2 linked regions of the Arabidopsis thaliana genome follow. The protein of the gene in region 1 interacts with the protein of each later gene in a pairwise test. Each region holds a gene or a part of one and is shown in the gene's direction. Other genes may lie near its edges.

Region 1 (3,669 bases):
ACTGGCTCTGCAAAATTGAACATAAAATTTTTGAACAAGCCAAACTTTACAGTGTTCACTACTCGAGTGAGGGAAAACATTAACAATGTGGTTAAAGAATCCTCCAAATTATAAGGTTCACATACCAAACTTTTCAACAACATCCTTTGTAATGTAGTTAGATAAGTGCCTCCACTCCCCATATTGCTTTAAATTGTATGGGCCAAGATTTTTGTCAAACTCTAAAGACCTGACTGCTTGAGAATATCTCTCTTCCTAGCAACAAAAGAGCAGAATAAATATAAATAAGCCAGCACTAATTCTCAAGCCTACTAACTAATGGCTCATGCAACATGATTTGATTATATTCCTATCTAGCAGGCATTGAACAAATATCACAAAGAGGCAAATCGCTGACCAACATATACGCAACATTGAGAAAATTACTGCACTAGGTTATTAAAAGGACATACCTCTTCTTCAGACACTTTGGTTAACCACTCGTCTTGCTGATTCCATTTGCGTACAATAACCTTGTATATTCAACAAAAGATAGTAAATATATATCTACTTACAATATATACAGTTTCATGGTGCTACTAACAGGATATCACAGAGAGACAAGAACATTACTAAATGTTTTCTCTGTAATAGCGATCTATATAGATAACTACAAACACAAACTATTCAAAGTTGTGATTCCAAACCTGAGAAGGGGCAACATCAACAAAGAAGCCAATGGTGGGTGAAAACTCTCTACCATCCCTGAAGATAAGAAAATGAAAGTCTGCATTATCAGCCAAAGCATATCGATAACCATGGTACGGTTTTTAATGAGTACGACATCACAAATTTAAAAAACCATTTAAAGACTTAAACCTTGTCGATGAACTATAGAATACAAAGTGAATTCCAGGAGGTATCATCTTAATCCCTTTGAAAGCTGGTCCAACTGCGAATATCTGTAACCACAATACAAAACATTGTCGTTATAGGCCAATGAATATGCTCAAGAAATATGTTTCACAATCATACAGAAATCAAAATCCATAGCCAATAAAGAATCTTCAAAAGCTCAAAAACCTCAAATTTTAATCATATTCAAACTCAAAATACACTTTCTTCTCGAGATATTTACTAAACCAAAAAGAAACTATACAAGGAGAATCAGTTCCACATTAAAAAGCTTTAAACTTGGAATAAAGTAACAAACTTTGAAACTGAGAAAAGTTGAAATTCGATAAAAGCTTTAAACTTAGAAGTAGACAAACCTGAGTATCGATTCCGACCAGTGTATATTGAGGAACATCGAGAAATAGAAGTGTAGCTCCATGCTTCACAAGCTCTAGTGCCTTCTCAGAATCCATAGCTTCCTTCTTCTTCGTCTTCACTAATTTAGCGTCGAATTCAATAAAGAACAGCAAAATACAGAGCGGAACAACGAGTAGATTCCAGAAGGCCCAATTTAACAGGCCCATTAACAAACTGGGCCTATAAACCGTGGCCCAAAACACGTGACAACGCGCGATTCACGCGGTTTACTTTATCAACCGACATAAACGTTTATTTATAGAGAAACCTATCTTCGCGTCTCTTCAGATTCGTTTTATTTTTCAATCGTTTCAATTTCTAAAATTCTCCTCTCTCAACGCAATCACCAAATCCAAATTTAGGGTTTCTTTTCTCTTTCTGCGATCGATCTCTGAAAACTCATAACTGTTGTTTAATCGTGAAGATGGCATCAAACGGATCTTTCTCTGCTCAGAGAAACGCAAACGCTAGAACAACGATGAAGAGAAGAAGCGACAATCGCGGTTACGGTGGCGGAATCGGAGGTTATCAAGAGGAGACGAACCGTTACGCGCCGCCGCAAAAACGTTTCAGATCACAAGCGCAACAGCAATTCCGATCTGGTCATAATCCTCTGTATCATCATCATGGTAGTAATAATAATAACGTGTCTAGGGTTTCTTCTCAATCATATAACAATTGCGGTGTTGATGTGATTGCTTCTAATTCAAGTTTTGCATTACGTAACAATGATTCTAACACCAACAATTATCAGAAACCCTTTGTTGCTGGTTATGGAAACCCTAATCCCCAAATTGTTCCTCTTCCATTACCTTATCGTAAGCTTGATGACAATCTCTCTTTAGATTCGTTACCTGATTGGGTTCCGAATTCAAGAACCCTAACTCCGAATTATCCTGTTAGGTCATCGAATTTTGTACCAAACACTCCTGTTTTTACGAATGTTCAAAATCCGATGAATCATTCGAACATGGTTTCAGTTGTGTCTCAATCTATGCATCAACCAATTGTTTTGAGCAAAGAATTGACTGATTTGCTTAGTCTTCTTAACAATGAGAAAGAGAAGAAAACTTTAGAAGCAAGTAATAGTGATTCTTTGCCTGTTGGATTAAGCTTTGATAATCCATCGTCACTTAATGTTCGACATGAATCTGTGATTAAGTCTCTGTATTCTGATATGCCGAGACAATGTTCATCGTGTGGGTTGAGATTCAAGTGTCAAGAAGAGCATAGTAAACACATGGATTGGCATGTAAGGAAGAACAGGTCGGTGAAAACCACTACAAGACTGGGTCAGCAACCGAAGAAATCGAGGGGATGGTTAGCAAGTGCATCTTTATGGCTTTGTGCAGCGACGGGAGGAGAGACGGTAGAAGTAGCATCTTTTGGAGGAGAAATGCAGAAGAAGAAAGGAAAGGACGAAGAACCAAAACAACTCATGGTGCCTGCGGATGAAGATCAGAAGAATTGCGCATTATGCGTAGAGCCGTTTGAAGAGTTCTTTAGCCATGAAGATGATGATTGGATGTATAAAGATGCAGTCTACTTAACCAAGAATGGTCGTATAGTTCATGTTAAGTGTATGCCTGAACCCCGACCTGCTAAGGATTTGAGAGAGCCTTCGAGGGTAATGTCTGTTACAGTTCCATCGGTTGCGAAAGCTATAGCCTGCTGATTGAGATTTTTAAGATCTCTGTTTTAGTCATTCGTTTTTTTAAGTAATGTACTTTACTTGAACAAGTTGTAACACAAATACAGTTCTATCAATTGAATCTCCTATTTTACTCTTATCGCCTCTTTACTCTTATGTGTCATTTAATGAATATTCATGCTTCTATATCTCTGTTTTAATCGTCGTTTAGTGTTGAAAAATCATCAAAAAAGTTGTAACTATATTAATCAGAAAAGATTAACGAAATGCTTTAGTTTACACTTAATAACAGAGACAAACGTGAAGCTCGTCTTCTTTTGATTCTCCTTAGGGTTTCTTACTTCGAGAAGAAGACAGAGTAATTCTCACAAACTTGTTTTGCTAATAAACGTTATAAAGCTTTTCAAAATCCTTTTTCAACCCTAATAGTTGATGAGAAATCGAAAAACAAACGAAGAACAATGATAATTCTGTTATTTCACATAAAGTCTCAAATGACAAATACAATGAAACACTCTATTTAAAGTAGAGTGTTTCGGTTTAACCAGGGAAATCACACTTGATTACCTGTTTACATAAACCAGACTCTCTATACCACTAAACCGAAATAAGGAAACCTTGAAACCTAATCGTCCCATGAATGTGCAATTAGCTTTTTCCCTAATTCCTTTGTGTATCTATATATATGTATGGACATTATCATTCTAATGAGATAACACATTCACAAT
Region 2 (6,685 bases), on another chromosome or scaffold:
CAACGTATGAATCAAATATGCATATGGAACATCAAAATCAAATATGATAACTCCATATAACATATTCTTAAGAATCTTCAATGACTTTAACCTCACCAGAATCAGCACCTGGTGATTTTTAACTCTTTTCACTTTTGTTTTTTAATGACTCTTCTAAAAAGATGTTCGTAATACAAAAAAATTAGCTTCCAAAACTTATAAAAGCTATATAGATCTTACTTTAAAAAATTAACAAATGCATTGAGCTCTTAATCACTTTCTAATGAATTCTTTTGTTCTACATATATCATGAATCATGACAAATAACATTCAATACCTACATACAACTTAACAAAATTACATTTTTTAATAAAAAAAGCCCGCGATTTGGTTCGGGTTTCGCCCTAGTACTAACTAGAGAAGAAAGAGATTTTCGAAGAAAAAATATGGAACATGTGAAAAGTTTAGAAGGTATGACACATATTGCTTAAACAAAATCATAAGAGGATGGAAAGAGACACTGTAAGAAAAAATGAAACAAATAAAACGAGTGCTTGCAAAAAGATAGGGAGAGTGATAGCTCTTTGTAAAAAAATTGTGAAGACAGAAATTCATATACATATTGAAAAGAATGTGAGAAAATATGAGTTGTTAAAGTAAAGTATAGATAAGCTTATGAATATACTTCTATATAATATCTTATTTTTAGACGAGCTATACTAACTAATGCAGCGAAGATAAACAAAAAAGAATAGTAAATTTACGGATTTCAAAATGAGAAAGTCGTCGAAGTTATTTTCCATAAAACAATTTATTTCATACATAAAAAGACGTCGTGATCCTAAATATCTAAAGCTAAAGAGAGAGTCATGAGCCAAAAAAATGTTCTTTTGATAAATGTTGTAAACCTAAAAGTTGTATTAAAGTTATTTTTAGTTTTGTATTTAAATTGTAACTATTGTCATGGTAATTTTAAAATTCAAAGAGTTTATAATATTAACAACAAGTAGACATATAAAAACATATCTTTTAAAAAATTTCTATAATAATTTTATTCACACAAAAAAATATTAAAAAGTTTTACAAATAGACCCATGCGTAGCGTGGATTCATAACCTAGGATTTAGAACGACTAATCGGGAGTTGCCACATAAATAATTAACATATTTAGTATCTAATTAATTAACATTTTTGAAAACAACCAATCGGGAGCTGCCACATCAATAATTAACATATTTAGCATCTAATTAATTAACATTTTTGAAAATAGCAATTACTTTATATTTTAAAATGTAAAAACAAAGGAACTAACAAATATTAAATTTAAACTTATAAAATAGGAAGCTATATAATTATAATTATGTAATAATAAACTCAAACCCTTATAGGATTTTATACAACTAATCCAACATTTTTTTAATATAACTTAAAGAAACGTAACAAGGACGTGGTTTGATGGTGGTGTTTTTAACTGTATCAATTTGAATCAAGTTCTCGAAGATATGCTCGTGGCAACTACCATGAGAATTCCACTTTTTCGGTCATGTGACAACCACACAAATTTCCGAGTTTCACGAGTTCAAAATCGGTGTTTCAACTCGTAACTTAGCCTTGAACGCATAAAAGCGAACTGAATGAATTAGAGTTGTAATGTTGTATTTATTTTTGTAGATTGTTTTAATCCGCTTCTTGCTAATCTCTGTATTTCTGTCAAAAATCAAAAATAATATAAAATCTAATTGTCTACCAAAAAAAAAATCATTCATAGTCCATGAGTAGAATCAAAACAAGATAGATTCAAACTTTATCAAGATAGATAAATAAGCTAAGAAATGAAATAGTTCCTCAAAACTAAATTTAGTGTCACCAAGAGGCAAGATCAAACTTTTCAAATAAGGGAAAGAAGAGAATTGCAACGTGATTAATTGATGAGGTCATAGTAAAAGTCAAAAATCTGTGTGACTCAAAACGGGTAAAAACAATAATTGGGATGTAGTTGATAACTCTAAAAAAAAAGGGACAAAAATGAGATTTGCATAAAGTAGAGATACAAAATTGAGAAGAAAAAAAAATCCTCTTCACTAAAAAAAAAAAAACTTCCGTTATCGATCTCTATCTCTCTCTTCCCCCACAAGGGTGGCGATTCGAGGAGTTTCCATGGTGGAACAGAAACCCTAGAGCCTTTATGCTGCCACTAATTATCACTCTTCACTATTGAATTGGGGATGGACTCAGAGAAAATCCTCAATCCAAGACTTGTTTCGATTAATAGCACCAGCCGCAAAGGTATGTCCGTTGAGTTGCCGCAGAAACCGCCGCCACCGCCGTCGTTGTTAGACCGGTTTAAAGCTTTGCTTAATCAGCGTGAAGATGAGTTCGGTGGTGGTGAAGAGGTTTTGCCTCCGAGTATGGATGAGATTGTTCAGCTTTATGAGGTTGTTTTGGGTGAGCTTACTTTCAATTCTAAGCCTATTATCACTGATCTCACTATTATCGCTGGTGAACAACGGGAACATGGTGAAGGAATCGCTAATGCTATTTGCACTCGAATCCTTGAGGTTTGCTTTCTTCTTATTTGTTTCCACTTTCTAGCCTTATTGTATAGTATGTAAGTGTAGAAGTGGGAAAAAAATTAGGTTTTTGATTGTCAGAGATTAGTGTTTGGTTTGTGGTTTAGTGAAATGGCTGCTTCTGAGTTACCTGTGGGTGTATATATGCAGGCTCCTGTTGAGCAAAAGTTGCCATCTCTGTATCTTTTAGACAGCATTGTTAAGAACATTGGGCGGGATTATGGTCGCTATTTCTCATCCCGTCTACCCGAGGTGAGCAGTCTACAAGAAGATGTTTACTTAAATGATTTGAATAGGGCTGAAGCATACCCATGAGCTGTTTTGATCCTATTCTGCTTTAGGTCTTCTGCCTTGCATATAGGCAAGCACATCCGAGTTTACATCCGTCAATGCGTCACCTGTTTGGGACTTGGTCGAGTGTTTTTCCACCACCTGTACTACGCAAGATTGATATGCAATTGCAACTTTCATCTGCAGCAAACCAATCTTCCGTAGGGGCTTCTGAGCCTAGTCAACCAACGAGAGGTATACATGTTAATCCAAAATATCTTCGCAGGCTGGAGCCCTCAGCCGCCGAAAATGTAAGCCTTTCTCTTTGTCATTATGAACAGAGATGACATTCTTTTTTTAGGTGCATCTGCAACCTTGAAGCTATGGTGTGTTAATTTTATATAAGTGTACTAAGTAAAACGGGTATTAGATTAGTTTGGCCTCATAGTGGTCTTATCCATTGTATTTCTTTAAAGTTTTGTTAGTTAGACGAGATAGATGTTTACATTCTTCAAGTAATCAATCTTGACTGGAAGGGAGTTGTTGTTATGGCCTCTCTCAGTTATACATGATGAGTAGGTCACTGGGACTCTGGTACATTAGAAATGATCTTGTTAGCACATGTAGAGGGTTTTTTTTTGGTTATAGTACAGTAGATCACTGTTTATGCATCATGTGTCGTTTGGAACTGTTTTTATATGTTTTTTTTCAAAGAGTGACTATACCTGAGATGCATATTTCCTTAATTGCTCTTGCTTGACATGCAGAATTTGAGAGGAATTAATTCCAGTGCAAGAGTTTATGGCCAAAATTCACTCGGTGGGTATAATGATTTCGAAGATCAGTTAGAGAGCCCATCTTCACTGTCTAGTACACCAGATGGTTTTACCAGGAGGTCTAATGATGGAGCTAATCCTTCTAATCAAGCTTTTAACTATGGAATGGGTCGAGCTACTAGCAGAGATGATGAACATATGGAATGGCGAAGAAAGGAAAACTTAGGCCAAGGAAATGATCACGAAAGACCTAGAGCGTTGATAGATGCATATGGAGTTGACACCAGCAAACACGTAACGATCAATAAACCAATTCGCGATATGAATGGCATGCACAGTAAGATGGTTACACCATGGCAGAACACTGAGGAAGAAGAGTTTGATTGGGAAGATATGAGCCCTACCCTAGATCGTAGCAGAGCTGGTGAATTTTTGCGATCATCTGTACCAGCATTAGGAAGTGTAAGGGCAAGACCCAGAGTAGGAAACACAAGTGATTTTCATTTAGATTCTGACATTAAGAATGGTGTAAGTCATCAGCTACGAGAAAATTGGAGTTTGTCACAAAATTATCCACATACATCCAACCGTGTTGATACAAGAGCAGGAAAAGACTTGAAAGTATTGGCTTCATCTGTAGGGTTAGTTTCATCAAACAGTGAATTCGGGGCTCCTCCATTTGATAGCATTCAAGATGTTAACTCACGTTTTGGCCGGGCTCTTCCTGATGGGACATGGCCCCATTTGAGTGCTAGAGGACCCAACTCTCTCCCTGTACCTTCTGCTCATTTGCATCATTTGGCAAATCCCGGTAATGCGATGTCAAATCGCTTGCAAGGTAAGCCTTTATATAGGCCCGAAAACCAGGTCTCTCAGAGTCATCTTAATGATATGACTCAACAGAATCAGATGCTAGTTAATTATTTGCCATCCTCATCTGCTATGGCTCCAAGGCCAATGCAATCGTTGTTAACCCACGTAAGTCATGGGTACCCTCCACATGGGTCAACCATTAGACCATCTTTATCAATCCAAGGTGGGGAAGCCATGCATCCTCTTTCTTCAGGAGTTTTATCTCAGATAGGAGCCTCTAATCAACCACCAGGTGGCGCATTCTCTGGTCTGATTGGCTCTCTCATGGCTCAAGGTTTGATCTCATTGAACAATCAGCCTGCTGGTCAGGTAATTATTCAAATCATGTCCTTGAGAGTCGGTTTGTTCTTAGTTATTGCTTTATCTTGAATTGTTGGTTTATATATTCAGGGACCATTGGGGTTGGAGTTTGATGCAGACATGCTCAAGATACGTAATGAGTCTGCAATCAGTGCTTTATATGGGGATCTCCCGAGGCAATGCACAACCTGTGGTCTACGCTTCAAGTGCCAAGAAGAGCACAGTAAGCACATGGATTGGCATGTAACCAAGAACAGGATGTCCAAGAACCATAAGCAGAACCCTTCTCGGAAATGGTTTGTAAGTGCTAGCATGTGGCTCAGTGGTGCAGAAGCACTTGGAGCTGAAGCAGTACCAGGGTTCTTGCCCACGGAGCCAACAACAGAAAAGAAGGATGACGAAGATATGGCAGTTCCTGCAGATGAAGACCAAACTTCATGTGCATTATGTGGTGAGCCATTTGAAGACTTTTATAGTGATGAAACCGAGGAATGGATGTACAAAGGTGCGGTATACATGAATGCTCCTGAAGAATCAACAACAGATATGGACAAGTCTCAGTTAGGTCCTATAGTGCATGCAAAGTGCAGGCCAGAGTCCAATGGGGTAAGCCATTCCATGCATTTTCATTAGCTTCATTTGTGTCTAGTTGAATCCATTTTCATTTTCGCTGCTAGACATTTATCCAGTGACGACCTCTTGATTTCCCGATCATGGCTTTTTCAGGGTGATATGGAAGAGGGTAGTCAGAGGAAAAAGATGCGGAGTTAGATCCCTTAGACCGAATTTTAGGTCTTTTTCTTGACTACATTTAAGTTACATTCTTATTTCTTCATCATCTATATGCACTTAGTCACAGAATACCACCAATGAAGAGAAATGATGGAGAGAGTCTTCTTTCTCCTAAAACTGTACCATTGAAAAAAAGAGGTTTACACCCACATATATTATCATTCTTTATGCCTCTAAATTCCTGTTGTGCCTTAGGACATGGATATCGTGTAACTGTTCTGCATTCTCTGCTACACCTAACCTGGGGTGCTTGTAGTAGTAAAATCAGATGTCGCAACAGTAGTTTCCCCATGTAAATGGAATACAATGTCTCTGTTTCGGATTGTCTTTTTCTTTTTCATCTTTAGATATTGCAGGGAAAGCCCGAGAAGACTGATATTCGAATGTGAACAGATTTCTTATGATGAATGGATCTCATAGATGCTGTTGCTAAGAGAACCAGTTTCAGGTTTCTTCTTTAGAGCTTTCCCTGTCTGAGTTTTACCTTTCTATGTTAGGCTGTTAGCTAAAAATGTTAGTTAACATAACTCTCTTTAAGCGTATTTGTTCTCTTGACTTTGTCTATAATGAAACAAGTTTTACTTTTCTTCTATCTGAACCTTTTGCTTTTGAAATTTCCACTACTTGTATCTTCATACCTACATGATACAGAGCCGGATTTATGTCGAAGTAGATTGAACGATAGTTAAAGCTTTCGAACTTACTTGGCTTTTTGCTCGATCAAACTAGAGTTTTTTCATGACTGTTACATTTGAAATATGGAATTATAAAGATTTAAAGGTTATGATTTAGTTCTGGTAGTACCTTATAGGACTGCAGAGCAAACTCAGTTCAAATCTGGCTTTGTCTCAACCGTTAGTCTCTAAACAAGAGTATGTGATGATCAATAGATGTAATGGCTGGAGTAAAATTCATGTTTGTTATATACATTGTGAAAATAGTCTATTATAGTATGAATATAAGAAAACAGCTTGCAATATGCAATATGAACTAAGCTAGAACAAAAGATCAGGTTAAGAACACACATCATTGCCCTTTTATTTTGCCTTTGTTAGAAAATTGGACCGTTGGTTGAATGGGATAAGAGAGAGCTAACAGAAACTAGTAGTGTACTAATAACAAAGA

The links.
Region 2: the proteins of AT1G66500 (region 1) and PCFS4 interact in a two-hybrid assay, tested with the Arabidopsis thaliana proteins (one study listed by BioGRID).

The regions. Positions count from the first base shown.
Region 1 is NC_003070.9:24,810,558-24,814,226, reverse strand, and holds AT1G66500 (Pre-mRNA cleavage complex II), read left to right. Parts: upstream 1-1,565; 5' UTR 1,566-1,714; coding exon 1,715-2,965; 3' UTR 2,966-3,147; downstream 3,148-3,669. Other genes in the region: AT1G66510 (AAR2 protein family), read right to left, coding at 1-7, 126-255, 453-512, 687-744, 859-941, 1,251-1,346.
Region 2 is NC_003075.7:2,469,879-2,476,563, forward strand, and holds PCFS4 (PCF11P-similar protein 4), read left to right. Parts: upstream 1-1,987; 5' UTR 1,988-2,204; coding exon 2,205-2,537; intron 2,538-2,699; coding exon 2,700-2,801; intron 2,802-2,890; coding exon 2,891-3,130; intron 3,131-3,586; coding exon 3,587-4,777; intron 4,778-4,858; coding exon 4,859-5,374; intron 5,375-5,494; coding exon 5,495-5,539; 3' UTR 5,540-6,147; downstream 6,148-6,685.